Linked DNA regions of Lytechinus pictus. The protein of the gene in region 1 interacts with the protein of each later gene in a biochemical or structural test. Links are inferred from orthologs where the notes say so. Each region holds a gene or a part of one and is shown on either strand. Other genes may lie near its edges.

Region 1 (8,020 bases):
ACAAGCCTAAGCCTTCAAGAGGCAAAGGCATCATAATTCATCATGTCAACATAATTCTGTGAATGTGTATTTTGTTTGAAGACTATAAACCAGCCGATTAGAAACCCCCCTATCTATAACTGACTGTAAATCTTTGCGTTGAGATTTAAAAAAAAGTGTAAAACAGAACAGGCTAATTATAGTACATGTAAATGTAAAAAAAAAGTTCTTAAACTCAGTAGCTTTTAAAATTCAACCGTCAGCTTCAGGTTTTGCAAACAAATCACCTGAATGCTCCTGTCTGAACCAGTCTGCTACATGTCCAACATTGTATGACCTTTACAAGGACAATCATTCAGGGACCTCGATCTTATCTGATCTAGATTTAAACTGTGCAAGTATGTTTCTGAATCATCGTCACCCTTTTTTTAAGGTTAAGGACTTTGAGATGTGGCAGGCCTGGATTTAGATTTCCCTGCATTTGAAATTTGGATTGCAATTATTGCTATATGATGAACTGTGTAAACAATGAATGCACTGAATGGCCAACTGTTGCTCATTCAAGGTCAAAGTCTAATTGTAACTCTTAAATTAAAGATCAGATCAAATGCTTCTATCACTCATCCCCTACTCTATACAAGGCACTCATTCAATGAACAACAAGGTTATGATATAACCTTGTTCTCAGTTACATCTCTATGTGTGGCAAAATAAGGTTGACAATGTTTGGATTATTTTCTCTTTTTCTTTTTGACAAATGCTTTATTTTTTTTACACTGTCAGTTTCCATTACAGCTTTTCATTATATAACTTGGCTCTTAAGTAAATTTGATTATTTAAATTATTTTTTCTTTATTAAGGATAGAGCTTGAAATATGAAAATTTTCTTGCCAAATTACTTTCCACCAGTAGAGGGCGTACACAAAAATATGCCCAAAATTCAAGCTTTTGAGTGCTTTTGGTCAATACAAAAATTATTCTAAATTACTTATGAAAATTGAGTTGCGACTGTATGGAAATCAATAACTTTGGTCCCAAAAGTGATATTTTACTGATTTTTAAAGTGTGAGCTCAATACAGCAGTGGCATGCCATAGCCCTACCTGTAGATTCTCCACAGGCAGGATGGTAGCAGTGAACAAGTGATACAAGGCGAGGTTATGCAGCTTGACCGAATAATCAGTCTATTTTGGTCAGGGAATCCTCCTCGGACACTTTGTGTGGCTGCCTTTGGGGCATCCCCCTCCCTCCATAAAATTTTGAAAAATAGATTTTTCAGCCTACATGTATAGTGAGTGATCGTATTACCGACCGGCCTTGTATTACCGAACGCGCGCATCGTATGCGTCAGAAAATAATTTCATACGCTCAATTCTTTGCAACATCCTTCCAAAGGGAACTTGAATAGAAAGATGATGAAAAATGGTCAAAAACACATTTTCAAAGTCTTAATATTCTAAAAATAATAAAATATCATGGTCAAAATAGCTCATCAGTGATTTTGTTGTTTTCTCAACTTTTCCCATAGAAAACACACGTTCGGTAATACGATACCTTTTTCAAGTGACCAAAATATTTCGCATGCGGAGAGGGGTCCGATTGGAAGCTAATATCGTCAAAAGGAAAAACGATTTCGTCAATTTTTTTTACATATTTAAATTTTGTAGGTAATTGTGTATTTATGGTTAAAGTTTGGTGAATTTTATGAGAATAATGTTTTTGATATGATTGAATTCATGAAGTGTTCAGTAATACCATCCACTACCATACATGTATGTCTACTAGTCACAGATTGGTAGGCTGTGAAGAGAAAAAGTACACAGGGGCTAAGTCAGGGGTTTTGAGTAGGCCCTAATTGAGTTGACCCCCGAATGCTCAAAAGAGCCCTGAAAAATCCTCATTCGTAACAAATGTTAAATAATAATAGCTTGCCAATGACATGTTGGAGATTCAGGTAATGTTGTTGTTGGTAGATTCATTCAGTTACTATCAGGACTGTAGTAATATAGGCTTATACTATATCTCCCGAAAATTAAAAATTCCCTAGGACTGCGACTCAGAATAAATGGCAAAAAATGGTCAATAAATATGACGTGATGAATCAACAACCAGTCCATGATTCATTTTAATAATGGGGAACCAAATAAAACATGAATCAGGACTAAACTAAACTAAAGAGACAAGATGAAAATAAAAGAAAAAAATACTTCAGGTTAAACCAAGTAAGACATTTAGAATCCCTAAAATTTACCTTTCCTGTCGAAGCCTTTTCTTGGTTGCGTTTTGCAACATAGCTGATGGCGTGAAAGGGTTGACATTTGCTACATTCTGCTGTCTCGTCTTAGAAATTCTTGTGCTCCTTCTCTGCATACTTCTCATGTTTGGAGCCGTGTGCGGCCTTGCAAGAGTACCATCATCACCATGTTCACGTACAGCAGCGGGTTTCTCACTGAAGAGTCTACTGGCAAGAAGTTTATTTCGTCTGGCACTCGCATTTGCCTTTTGAATTAATGATTTGGGCGTGTGTGGTGAATCGAAAAGTCTCAAGTTACGAAGCCGCTTGTGTGGGGGTGGAGAACCGACAGAGTCGCTTCCCCCTGCGGAGGAGGCGGGGCTACTTCCGCATATTAACATTGGAGAGGGACTGCAACTTGAGTCGCTTGGCCTTCGAAAAAGGGGAGATGCAACTGAATTTTCGCCACCATGAAGTCTTGAAACTGGTCTTCGTTGCACGGGCCGTTTTGATGGGCTACTTTTTGGAGTTGCCAAGGCGGGATCCCATTCTGCCGTGAGATTTAATGAGTCATCACGATCATCAGAAAATGAACTTGAAATGGGACTGTGGTCGATCCTCTCTTCTTGCAAATCGTTGAAATCAGAATAAGCTGCAAAACTAGCGTCACTTTCGCCTTCGGAACCGAGAGCATCGCCAAAATCTAGGCGTTGTGTAGGCGATCCGTGAACACCTTGATGAAATAAGGAATTCATTGGTGTAGCTAACGACATCTTCCGTCGAGAAAAACCGTTAGATTTTGATGAATTAGTTGTCAATTCCCGTCTCAATCGATGCAATGGTGATGGCGTGTGGCAAACAAATCATAAATAACAACAACATGCGCGCGTCGTATACAGTATAGTATACTTCGCTTGCGCTTGCTTGCATATACCGTACTACTCGTACCGGTACTCGCGATATCGACACACACAACACAACGAGATATCAGCACATGCGGAAAAAAGCACGTCAAAATGGCGCGCCTGTTTTGGAAGGAATCACGTGATAAAACACCAGCCAATCACGAAATAGCTTATATCAATTGTGATCTTGTTTATGGCCGGTATTGGCTACGTATTCCAGTCATTCTTGAGTCCCGTCGCGTCTTAAAAAAGATGGTAAATAGTATGAGTCATACAGGCCACGCCACGTATAGACCGAATGACGAAGAATATATATATATATAAGAAAAACCCTGATAATACGAGAAATATAAAAGGGATTATGAAGGTTACTTGTAATTACAGGTTTATGTTTGAGGGTGGGCTCGAATTAAAGGACAAATAAGAGTAAAAGGAAACCCCTCGTATAGGCCGACATGTAATTTTTTTAATAATTATTCTTTTATAACTTTTTATTGATAGTATTTTAATATACGGTATATGACATTATGACAAGTGGTAGGGATAACTTTCACATGGACCGTATAATGTATACCCAGTTGTTGTGGGTCCGGACAGGTTGTGTGTCCGGACGATCAATTTTAGAAAGTCATTTGGAAAAAATTACAAGCGAATTTTATCAATTTTTAGTACAAAATGTTAAGAAATATTATAAAGAACAAACAAGAAAATGATTACAATTGTTGAATTTATATTTTGTGTGTAATCCAAAGACAAAAAAGAAGGCCTCAATAATATAAAGTGTCCGGACACCCGACCCCCCCATCCTACATTATTTTCATGGATTCGTGTCATTCTCCAAGAAGGACACTGTGCCTATTCCAATGGAACACGGTTTTAGTAGGTAGCACATGTTTTTTTTTGTGTATTTATGTGTGTACTCACGAATATAGGCCTAATTTGAAGAAATTGACATAACAGCCATTTTATGTTTTGGAATGGAAAAGAAGTCCTTGCCTCTCATCATCACAAATGTGACCCAAATTTAACTTGAAGTTTCATAATAATTACAGATATTTTAAAATCGATAGAAATTCATATATTTCTTACTGTTTGTCCAGTACAAACTTTCACCTATCTACGGGGGACTCCCCCGGGTCGGCTGTGCCCCCCTGGGTACGCCAGTGATAATAATTATAAGAAAACCTGGTATATGTGAAGAAACATTTTCGGCTTAAAATTAATTATCTTTGTGAATTACCTTGAGGCCTAATTCGGCCATTGTCCATTCCCATTACATGATTAGTTCCCTGTCCTATCTAATAATTAAACTTAATCAAAATGATTTCTTCCTAACATGATTAAGTAATTGTGCTGATGTTTTGGTGTTTTTTTTTGCCAATACTTATATGCCTAAATGCAGTGGCGTACCTAGGATTTTCCACAGGGGGGCGGGGGCAATAAAGGTCTTCAAGCTCGTCAGGGGGGCAAAACAGGTCTTTCAAGCTCGTCAGGGGGGGCAGGATACGTCCTTTGCATGGGTTGTGGCTCGTCGGGACTCCCCCCCCCGTATGTACGCTAGTGCCTAGATGAAAAAAAAAATGAAATATCAATTGGCGGCTTTTATTATGTTTCTATTTCATTTCCCTGCTTTTGAATGATTTCCTCCTTCGATGAAGCAGTTAACCAAACTTAACAATATTGTTTGCCTGCTATGTATACATTCTAGCATGATACTTCACCGTGTTTTCTACATGGACACGCAGGCGCTTTTCAATGTCCCTTTCATTCACTAATAATCACATTTTTATGAATAATTGTTTCCTCCCTCTCTTTCTTCTTCCCTTCCCCTTTTCTTTCTTTCCCCTCTGTTTTCCTCCCAATAATCCACGGTGTTTTCACTTTGTTATACTGATGTATTCGAGACTGTAATAAAACTTATTTTCATATTGAATGCAATTTTTTACTTGTTCATTAATTTGGGTTTTCCTCCCTCAAACTTTTTTTCCTGTTCTCTGTCTTTTATTTCCCTAACCTTTTCCTGATCTTCTTAGTATATTCGATCTTTTATTTTGTTGCCTCACAACAAAAGCAGCAACCTTCGTCGTTAAAGGGGAAGTTTACCCTGACAAAAAGTTTATTGTAAAAATAGCAGAAAAAATAATGAAAAATATTGCCGAAGGTTTGAGAAAAATTCATCAAATAATTAAAAAGTTATTAGAATGTCAATTATTTGATTTGTGACATCATATGCGAGCATAGCGAATGGTAAAAAATCAATGAAATGTCATTTTCTCAGAAAATTGAAAATGGTTTTCACTGTACCTTTTGTATATCAATAGACAAATCATTTTACACCCGATCATGAATAGAAAACAAAATTAAGACATCAGGAACCATACAAAATTTGAAATTCATGCATTTTATATTACATAACACATGGGGCAGCTGCTCGTTTATGACGTCACAAATCCAAAACTTTGAATTCTAATAACTTTCTTACTCTTTAACGGATTTTCCTCAAACCTTCACCAATATTTTTAAATATTTTTTCTGCTATTTTTGCAACAAAGTTTTCTTCAGGGGAGCGTTTCATCAATACTTTCATCCGACAAGTTGTCAGATCTGACATCTTTCCATGATTTTGATTGGCTGATAGGCACTGTTCCTATGGTAATTGTCGGATAAAATGGGACTTGAAGGATAAAACGTCCGACAAGTCCTTTCATGAAACTCCCCCCTTGATGAACTTCCTCTTTAATGCGCTCAGGAAATCAACGAGAGATGGCGCTCTTTTACTAATATTGATTACTCTGACTAATATCAAAAGAGGTAACTAGGTGTGCACTCGTGTGTTTAAAAAAAGTTTAGGCAAAATAACACTTCTCTAATTAACTTTTAAAGTAATGTTTTATTCATCTTTTGTTGTTGTACATTCATGTGCAAAAGAGATTATTGCTTTTCTGTTCAGGGGAAAACGGTAATCTTTTACAAAGTCTGTTTTATTTGTCGATTAATATATTTTGTTTTCTCTGCTTTCACATTGTTATGTATAAATTGGGCAGTTAATTTCATTTGTCATAAATTCTGAAATTTTGTTATCTCATTCCTCCAGGAATTTAGACTGTTGTGCTCAATATTTTGGCAAAATGTAACCTTTTGCACTTTGGACCATACTTTATGGAATAATCCACATCAGTCTACTAATACTGCTGACTACGCTGGACCCTTTGGAGCAAGGTATGACTATTTCATTATACTGATTTTATTGTTTCAAATTAACGTCTCCTGATCGAGAAACTCACAATGAAAAGCAAATCAACTGCGAAGGGGTACAACGAGGTTGCTGCTACAAAAGGCCCGAGCGGCCCGGGGCGAAACCATGATGCCAAGCCTGTCGGAGCTATGCAAGCCTCGCCAACGCGCAAGCATCATGAGCAAAGATCTAGTAGTCCAGTAGATATGTGAAAAAGATGCTCGAATCTGGCAGAAAGTGTGAAATTTGGCATACAGGGGTATTTTTGGGCGCTGATTTCAAAAATTGCCGGCCCCAAGCGATTTGACCATCGGGTCGGCCGCCATTTTGAAATCCAAGATGGCCGCCATGATAAATCATTAAATGTCAATTTCTTGAGTTTTACATGACATGTGACACTGAAATTTGGCATATAGGGGTATTTTGAGGCACTGATTTCAAATATTGCCGCCCATCAGCAATTTGACCATTTGGTCGGCGGCAAAATGGCCGCCATCTTGAAATCCAAGATGGCCGCCATGATATATTATTGCAATCATTTTATCGAGTTTTATATGAACTGCGGTATTGAAATTTGGCATATAGGCTTAATTTGGGGTGCTGATTTCAAATATTGCCGGCCCCAAGTATTTTGACCATCGGTTCGGCCGCCATTTTGAAATCCAAGATGGCCGCCCTGAGAAATTATTAATGTCACTTTCTTGAGTTTTACATGACGTGTGACACTGAAATTCGGTATGTTGGGGTATTTTTAGGCACTGATTTCAAATATTGCCGCCCCCAGCAATTTGACCATTTGGTCGGTGGCTAAATGGCCGCCATTTTGAAATCCAAGATGGCCGCCATGAAAAATCACTAAATGTCATTTTCTTGAGTTTTACATGATATGTGACACTGAAATTTGGCATATGGGCTTAATTCGGGGTGCTGATTTCAAATATTGCCGGCCCCAAGTGATTTGACCATCGGGTCGGCCGCCATTTTGAAATCCAAGATGGCCGCCATGAGAAATTCATTAATGTCATTTTCTTGAGTTTTACATGACGTGTGACACTGAAATTTGGCATACAGGGGTATTTTTAGGCACTGCTTTCAAATATTGCCGGCCCCCAGCAATTTGACCATTTGGTTGGCGTCTAAATGGCCGCCATTTTGAAATCCAAGATGGCCACCATGAAAATCATTAAATGTCATTTTCTTGAGTTTTACATGATATGTGACACAAAAATTTGGCCTATAGGGGTATTTTGAGGCACTGATTTCAAATATTGCCGGCCCCCAGCAATTTGACCTTAAGGTCAGCGGCAAAACGGCTGCCATCTTAAATTCCAAGATGGCCACCATGAAATATCGTTGCAATAATTTTCTCTAGTTTTGTATGAGCTATGGTATTTAAATTTAGCATATACAGTGTAGGTGTAGTTTAGGGCACTTATTTCAAATAGTCTTACCACCAGGTCAGCCGCCATCTTGAAATCTAAGATGGCCGCCATGAAAATCACTAAAAATAATTTTCTTGAATTTTACATGTGCTCTGAACTTTGGCAAATAGAGTACCTATTTTTGGTTGCTGATTTCAAATATTGCCAGCCACAAGTGCTCTGACCATCAGTTCAGCGGCAAGATGGCTGCCATGAAAAACCATATCAAAATAATTTTCTTGGATTTT
Region 2 (7,708 bases), on another chromosome or scaffold:
CGCCAACCTCAAGTCTGAAAGAGACATCTTCAAAAGGCTTCTGCATCTGGTTTCGGCCAAAGATTCCTAGATCACCCTTGTTTTTAGCAGAGTTACAATCACTTTCTGTGCTCGCCAGATCCCCAAAATCAACTTGTCCCGAAACTATCCTGGCTCTGTATCCTGAAAAAATGAATTATCAATGCAGTAGAGTACATTTAAATTTTATGCATTAATGTACCTAAAAAATAGAATGTATCATGATAATCAAATTCAGAGCCTGAGCCAACAACTTGTATTTTGGAAGACCAAAGTCAATGGACTTCGGTCTTCCAAAATACAAGTTGGTGATCAAAGTTTTCCCATTCTGATGAAACTAGTTTACAAGTTCTACACAATCATTAGGCATTCTATTCATTTCATGTTTCTCATGATAATGAATTCAAATTCAAACCTTTTTTTATCAGTGTTATCAATCTAATGGGAAATAAATTTCTTATTTCTCTATGAAATATCTTTTCTGATTTCTATTCTGTCTCTTACAAAGATTGGCACCTTCAATCTATGTTTGACACAAGCAATCTTTGTAAGGCCAATGGTATGACTTGTACACACAAGATTGCAATATACCCTTTGTGGTGATGAATATGGTGGCCTCCGTTTACGGAAAATGTCATAATTAGTGACTTTGGACAAGAAAATATAACATGCTAATCCTACGTTCATAGATTTAATTTCATTAAGGTTCCAAATCATAAAACGTTGTAAAGGAATTTCATGGAGGAGAGACTGCCAAAAGATAAACGAATGGATACATGCCTTTTATTATTTGAAGAGCTTCATCCTTTGAGCGAGTGATCCTGTCATCCCTCCAGGATGCAGGTCTTCTAGAATCTCTATGTTTGACTAGGAGATGGGAGCAGCGAACTTTATTGGCTGGAGGACCAGCTGGTTTCTCCCATTGACTTTCCTTGGTAGCAGCTTTAAAATAGTATGGTTTACCTGTATGTTTGAGGTTAGAAAAAAAAAAGAATGCAAATTTCATGTCTATTGTGTCCTCATTGTAAAATTTGTCACCTCTTGCGTTATAAGTGATCTGATATGCATAAAGTATGCACATAGCATATCATTAACTTTTTCATTGCTCTACATTATGACTAGTATCAGACATCTGAGCTGTTTTATATATTAATTTTACAAAACCATATTGCCCTAGAGGGAAAGTGCCAATTCGTCTACTGCCAACACCATCTACCTTCATTTAGTCCATCAAAATTTCGTCTAACAACCATTTGGTCCAATCATAACTTTGTCTAATCACCAGTTTATACACTTTGACTGTCTTTGGATTACACTAAAAAGAGTTTCGCTAAGGCAAGCACATAATACGCCCGTCTGTAATGCAGAAAATGAAGTTATTGGTCAAGCAAGAAAAGTAGGTGGCGACCTTTGACCTTCTGACCTCAAAATCAATAGAATTGCTAGGATCTATGCTAGTATCATACACACCAAATTATATGAGCCTAGGTTAAGTTCAACTAAAGTTATCGCGTAAACAAGGACTTCAGAAGGATAAGATGAAAACATGTCACAGTGACCTTGACCTTTGGACCTCAAAATCAAATGGCTTTCTGGCTTCAAATTAAAAAGGCTTCCTAGTATCATACACACCAAATTATAGGAGCCTGGGACTAACCCAGGCTCCTATAATTTGGTGTGTATGATATAAACTGGAGTGTATAAACTGGAGTTATTGCGTTTACAAGGACTTCAGAGAATTGAGAATATGATTTGACATTTCTTGTCCTGTGGGCTACATTAAAATTGAGAATATTATCATATTTTGGAATTTATGCAGCCCTATGTCAGACGGACGAAGTTACCCATTCCTTTTCCGTATTTTGCCTATTTACGGGAAAATCTGCCATTTTGATTTTATGATTTCATGTATAAATTACTAAAAGATGAATATTTAATAACTTGATTTTCTTGATACAAGTAGATAGTGTTAAAGACTGATCTTGATATGACACTTTTGTACACCAAGAGCAAAGTCATTAATTAGAATAGCATATGAGATTTATTGATATGTATTTTATGTTTTTTTTATAAATATTTACTTATCTAAGAATCTACTGAAACAAACAAGCGACTTCAAGTGAGTATTACTGGATAGTCTTAACCAAAGACTTTTGTATTCATAATTTGTTTGCATAGTTCAATTTGCCTATAAATGTTTAATCATGAAATACCCGGTATATTACTTGAAAGTGAATAGTTTTATACTGAATAATTAAGCATTTACAGGAATTATTATTGAACTTAGACTCAATAGATATTATGCCAGGGGTAGGGTGGGCAACGGCACCAGATTTGTGCTGTAGACATGTGTAAAAAGAATTTTAAGTCAATAGGTGAATTTGCCTCAAATTTTCATTCTATATTTTGAGTGAACAATGTAGTAACAAATGTAGCAACATCTTCACATTTTCTAGCAGCCAAGTTGATTATCTATCAATGTGACATGTTTCCATGGCTCCTCACAGAGGCTCAAACAGTCTAGGTCAGCATGAAAACTTAAAAATGCCTATTTTCAGCCACTAGCCCTGTGTGCACATATATGCGCGCGCGCAAATTTGAAATGCTTAAAAATTTGCGCGCGCACATATATGTGCACATGTAGGGACAGTGATTTTCCGCGATCGCGGAAAACGGACGGAATTCACGGAAAGGGCCTTTTGAAACGGAAAGTGGCATTTCAAACGGAAAACGTATTTTCCCTCAAAATACACAGAATAGTACCCAAAAATTAATGAAACGTACCCAAAATTAATTATAGGCCATTTTGAGCATTTTTCAATTTTGACGCGCGCGTCATGACCTTTGATGGCATTGACTGATGACCTTCGACCTAAAGTTTATTTGATGACGTAAATATGATTGACTATTGATTGTCCGTTATGTACATATTATCAAATTAAGAATTTACAAAATGGCACGTAGATGACGTCATCATGACCAGATGACCTTGAAAAGCTTAGTAGAGCGTCTCTATGATAGACATTATATATGACGAAAAATTCAGCAAAATTGATATAGCCGATTCGGAAAAAAGTTGGCGACAAACATAGGTGCGAAAAATAAATAAAGAAAATTGACGAAATTAAGAGGTGATCCGTCAGAGACAGCATGGACAGACCACCTAATTACAGCAACAACGGAAGGAAGATCAACGTTTGGTTCGGGGGGAAAGACTGGCAAGTTAAACTCTCTGGCATTATCGTGGTTTATGTCACCAGTCCATTCACTGCCGTTTATTTCGTCAGCGGTGGTGACATCTTTCCATTCCCATTTTGGCATTGACTTTGTACACAACGAGGGAGTAACTTTAGAATCCAATGTCATGTTATAATCGATTATGAGACCAATTTACCTCCTAATCGCTGCTTTGCTGCTGCCGGTGTGCGATAGCCAGTAAGCCAGAGGCTTGGTGATAGTAGTTTTGTCGCCCTCTACGTTCGTGAGCTAATGAAGAGGCCCCGGCGTCAAGCAGGAGATAGATCGGAAAATGGATAAAGGATGAGAGGGGGAGGGGGATGGTCCCGTAGGGGGGTACACGACTTGTCCAATATGGTTGATGTAGAAGGAGGGGTGAAGTAATGTCAGGTGATATGATAATCAGAGGAGTTTTTAAGGGAAGATATATGAAGGAATGAAAGAGGGGGCGCGTGATCGAGGATATGTGCATTGGTATATATTTATGTTGATTATGTTTAAATGTTATTTAAGGAATGATAGTCGTTGATATGTATACATGGATACATGTATACAAAGATACTTGGATACTATTATATTACATACATGTTTGGATATGGATACTTAGAAACATGGATACGGGGATACTCGGATACTATTGGATACTTGGATACTATTGGATACTTGGATACATGGATACGCGGATACGTGGATACTTGGATACTATTGCATACTTGGATACTTGGATACATGGATACGCGAATTACGTGGATACGTGGATACTTGGATACTATTGGATACTTGGATGCTTGGATACATGGATACTTGGATACATGGATACTATTGGATACTTGGATACTTGGATACTATTGGATACTTGGATACATGGATACGCGGATACTTGGATACTATTGCATACTTGGATACTTGGATACATGGATACGCGGATACGTGGATACTTGGATACTATTGCATACTTGGATACATAGATACGCGGATACGTGGATTCTTGGATACTATTGGATACTTGGATACTTGGATACATGGATACTTGGATACATGGATACTATTGGATACTTGGATACTTGGATTCGCGGATACGTGGATACTTTTGGATAGTTGGATACGTGGATACAATTAGAAACTTTGATACGCGGATACGGGCTTATGCCTACAGGAAAACTTGAATACATAGATACTTAGCAGAGCAAATCAAAGACACCGAGAGACAGGGCTATACTCCGAGAGACCCCGCAGTGGCCGACCAGTTTCGACAACCCCTAGAGATGATCGCTACTTGACGAATCTCAGCCTCCGCAACCGCTTTCACAGTACACGCCGCCTCAACAATGACTTCGCTGCAGCAACTGGAGTGATTGTTTCCACTCAAACAATCCGTAACCGACTTCACAGAGCCAATATGCATGCCAGACGGCCAGCTCAGTGTGTCCCACTCACCCCTGCTCACAGAAGAATTCGTCTCAACTGGGCCCGGGAGCATGTCAGATGGACCAGACAGCAATGGCGTAGAGTTCTGTTCACAGATGAGAGCAGATTTTCCCTTGACCACAATGATGGACGTTCGAGAGTCTGGAGGCGACCAGGAGAGAGATTTGCAGACCCCTGTATTGCAGAACATGACCGTTATGGGGGAGGCAGCGTCATGGTGTGGGGAGGCATCACCTACGCCAACCGTACTCGTCTCTACGTGGTCCCAGGGGGAGCAATGACAGGAGTGAGGTACAGGGATGAGGTCCTTGAACCTATAGTGGTGCCATTTGCAGAAAATGTGGGACAAAACATCATTTTCATGGATGACAATGCCCGTGCCCACCGAGCTAGGGTGGTGACCGAGTTCCTTGAGGGCCAGGGGATTGAGCGTATGGAGTGGCCAGCGAGGTCCCCGGACTTAAACCCGATAGAGCACGTCTGGGACATGATGGGGAGGAGTCTCGAGCAGCTCGAAGCCCATCCACTTGGACTGCAGCAGCTGGGTGTGGCTCTGGAGGCTGCATGGGATGCACTGGACGTCAGAGACATCAATCGCCTCATCAGCTCCATGAGACAGCGCTGTGAAGCCGTTATTGCTGCAGGAGGTGGTCACACTCGTTACTGAACTGCCTGAAAGACACTCAGACATTCGTTTTTACCACTTCATGTCGGTAGCTGATACCCCTCGGGGCCCACTTTTCAGGATGTGCAGTGATGCGAGAGACATTGTGCAACAACTGAAACCACCCATGCGTGAAATTGATTACAGCGTGTTTAAGGGCATTTAGGACAGTTGTACTGAGGTATTTCCAGAAATAAAACACCTTGTATAAAATCTTTATGTACGTTTTAAAAAGTGGTCCTTAACTTTTTTTGAGTAGTGTATAATAATAGGTCCTTCTCATGATGATTGTATAATTACAATTTTCAGATTATTTATCTAGTTCTATGGCTAATAGTGCTAGGCACTACAACAAGTGCAATAATTAAAAGGTAAAAAAACATAAACAGTAAAGCAAATAATAACTTCGCTCACAAGAAACAATAGAAAATAAAATACAACACGCGATTTACTGTGTGTACATAGCAGAAATCTATGACATTCTACCGCTATTTTATGTTGTGAAGAGATCATAAGTTTTAATCAAAATTATACACAAGCAGTTTCTACTCACATGTTCGAAATTGAGTTGATCATCAATCCATCATGTAGAGACGTACCAACATTCCATCCACCTTAACTTGTCCATGATTATTCAAACGCAACCAAGAATATACAGAAATATATTTTTAAATCTAAATTCTAAAGCAGGAAAACTAACCGCATGTTTCAAAGTGACATCGAATAAGTTCCCCCGGAAGTTCCCACACTGTAAATCAATGTGGTTGAGGAATCATTGCACATCTGATCATCACAAAGATGAAAGTATGGAACGATCGCAGAAAGCGTTGCGATCAAACGAAACTCCCACAAATCACGTCTTTTTTCGTATATTTTTGAAGGGTGAAAAGAAAGATGTATGATTGAACATAACTCTTCCGCACTGGTGCTCCGAAGATGATTATTACAGGCTCTCCATAGCTGTATCTTTATTTCACAACAAAACCAGAAATATTTCTCTATGATCTATCTGATTATGATGTTAATCAATGATTATTGACTGGACACCTACACAATGTTCCGGGCAATGTTCACTCGATGAAGCCAAACGTCGAAATGGTGAACCACTGCAATGCGCATCACGAGCTCTGTAATCTGGTGTTAGTACAGCGACGTAAGATGATGATTGGCTGAACATGTGATTCGTCATATCCTCTCTATCCAATCAGAGATGGTTCTAAATGGTTGCGACATTACATTACAGGGAATACAATCAGGGTACTAATGGATAATTCGTTTTTCATTCCCGATCATCGCAGAGCGAAAACGGAAATCAACCTCATGGTTCGGTCTTTGAAAACACAAAAAACGAAATCACGACGAGAAAAACCTGTTGTGATTTCGTTTTTGGAGATCAAAACAGAAGAATGAAATCAGAAATACTTTTGGGCTCTTTCTGATTTCTCATTCTATACTTGTGTTTGTTATATATAAAAAACAAAATCAGAACACGCTTTCCGCTCCGTGATTCTGTTTGGAAAAACGCAGACAGCGAAAAAGAAATCGGAAACTCGCTTTCCACTTCCTGCTCTGTGATTTTGTTTTTTGCACAGCTAGCAGCCGTATCGAAATACGGTTTCCGCTCGTCTCTGAGCCGAGTTGTCCTTTCTTTCATGTATATTAAAGAGCGCTCTCTACGTTTCCGATCGTTATACACACGTGCACGCAGTACAGCGCATGCATGTTACGACCACGTGCAACAAAAATTCACGTTAACATGGCTTTTTTCCAGCGTTTTCGGACCTTCACAGAGCAGGAAGTGGAAAGTGAGTTTCCGATTTCGTTTTCGCTGTCTGCGTTTTTCCAAACAGAATCACGGAGCGGAAAGCGTGTGCTGATTTTGTTTTTGATATGTAACAAACACAAGTATAGAATGAGAAATCAGAAAGAGCCCAAAAGTATTTCTGATTTCATTCTTCTGTTTTTGATCTCCAAAAACGAAATCACAACAGGTTTTTCTCGTTGTGATTTCGTTTTTGTGTTTTCAAAGACCGAACCATGAGGTTGATTTCCGTTTTTGCTCTGCAATAATCGGGAATGAAAAACGAATTATCCATTAGTACCCTGATTGTAAACACTACTATTACAAGAGACTAGCTCAAGGATTGAATGTATCACCAGGAATATTTCAAGCTAAGATAGATGATATTTTGAGTACAATACCAAATTCTAGGAATTTTTGCATAGCCATCATGATGATATCATTTTGTTTAGCCCTGACAAGAATACCCATAAGCGACAATTAGAACTTGTACTTCAAGCACTTACTAAGAACAGACTGAAGGTCAGTCCCAAGAAATGTAAGATTTTCAGAGATGATGT

What was found. The genes of interacting proteins can lie anywhere in the genome.
Region 2: the proteins of wee1-like protein kinase 1-A (region 1) and peptidyl-prolyl cis-trans isomerase NIMA-interacting 1-like form a complex in vitro, tested with the Homo sapiens proteins (2 studies listed by BioGRID, with this or other methods). The link is inferred for Lytechinus pictus from reciprocal best matches to the Homo sapiens genes WEE1 and PIN1.

What each region holds. Positions count from the first base shown.
Region 1 is NC_087263.1:89,779-97,798, reverse strand, and holds the start of wee1-like protein kinase 1-A, read right to left. Parts: upstream 3,254-8,020; 5' UTR 2,985-3,253; coding exon 2,230-2,984; intron 1-2,229. UniProt on the Homo sapiens protein: Acts as a negative regulator of entry into mitosis (G2 to M transition) by protecting the nucleus from cytoplasmically activated cyclin B1-complexed CDK1 before the onset of mitosis by mediating phosphorylation of CDK1 on 'Tyr-15'.
Region 2 is NC_087259.1:1,859,164-1,866,871, forward strand, and holds the start of peptidyl-prolyl cis-trans isomerase NIMA-interacting 1-like, read right to left. Parts: upstream 3,385-7,708; coding exon 3,276-3,384; intron 982-3,275; coding exon 799-981; intron 163-798; coding exon 1-162. UniProt on the Homo sapiens protein: Peptidyl-prolyl cis/trans isomerase (PPIase) that binds to and isomerizes specific phosphorylated Ser/Thr-Pro (pSer/Thr-Pro) motifs.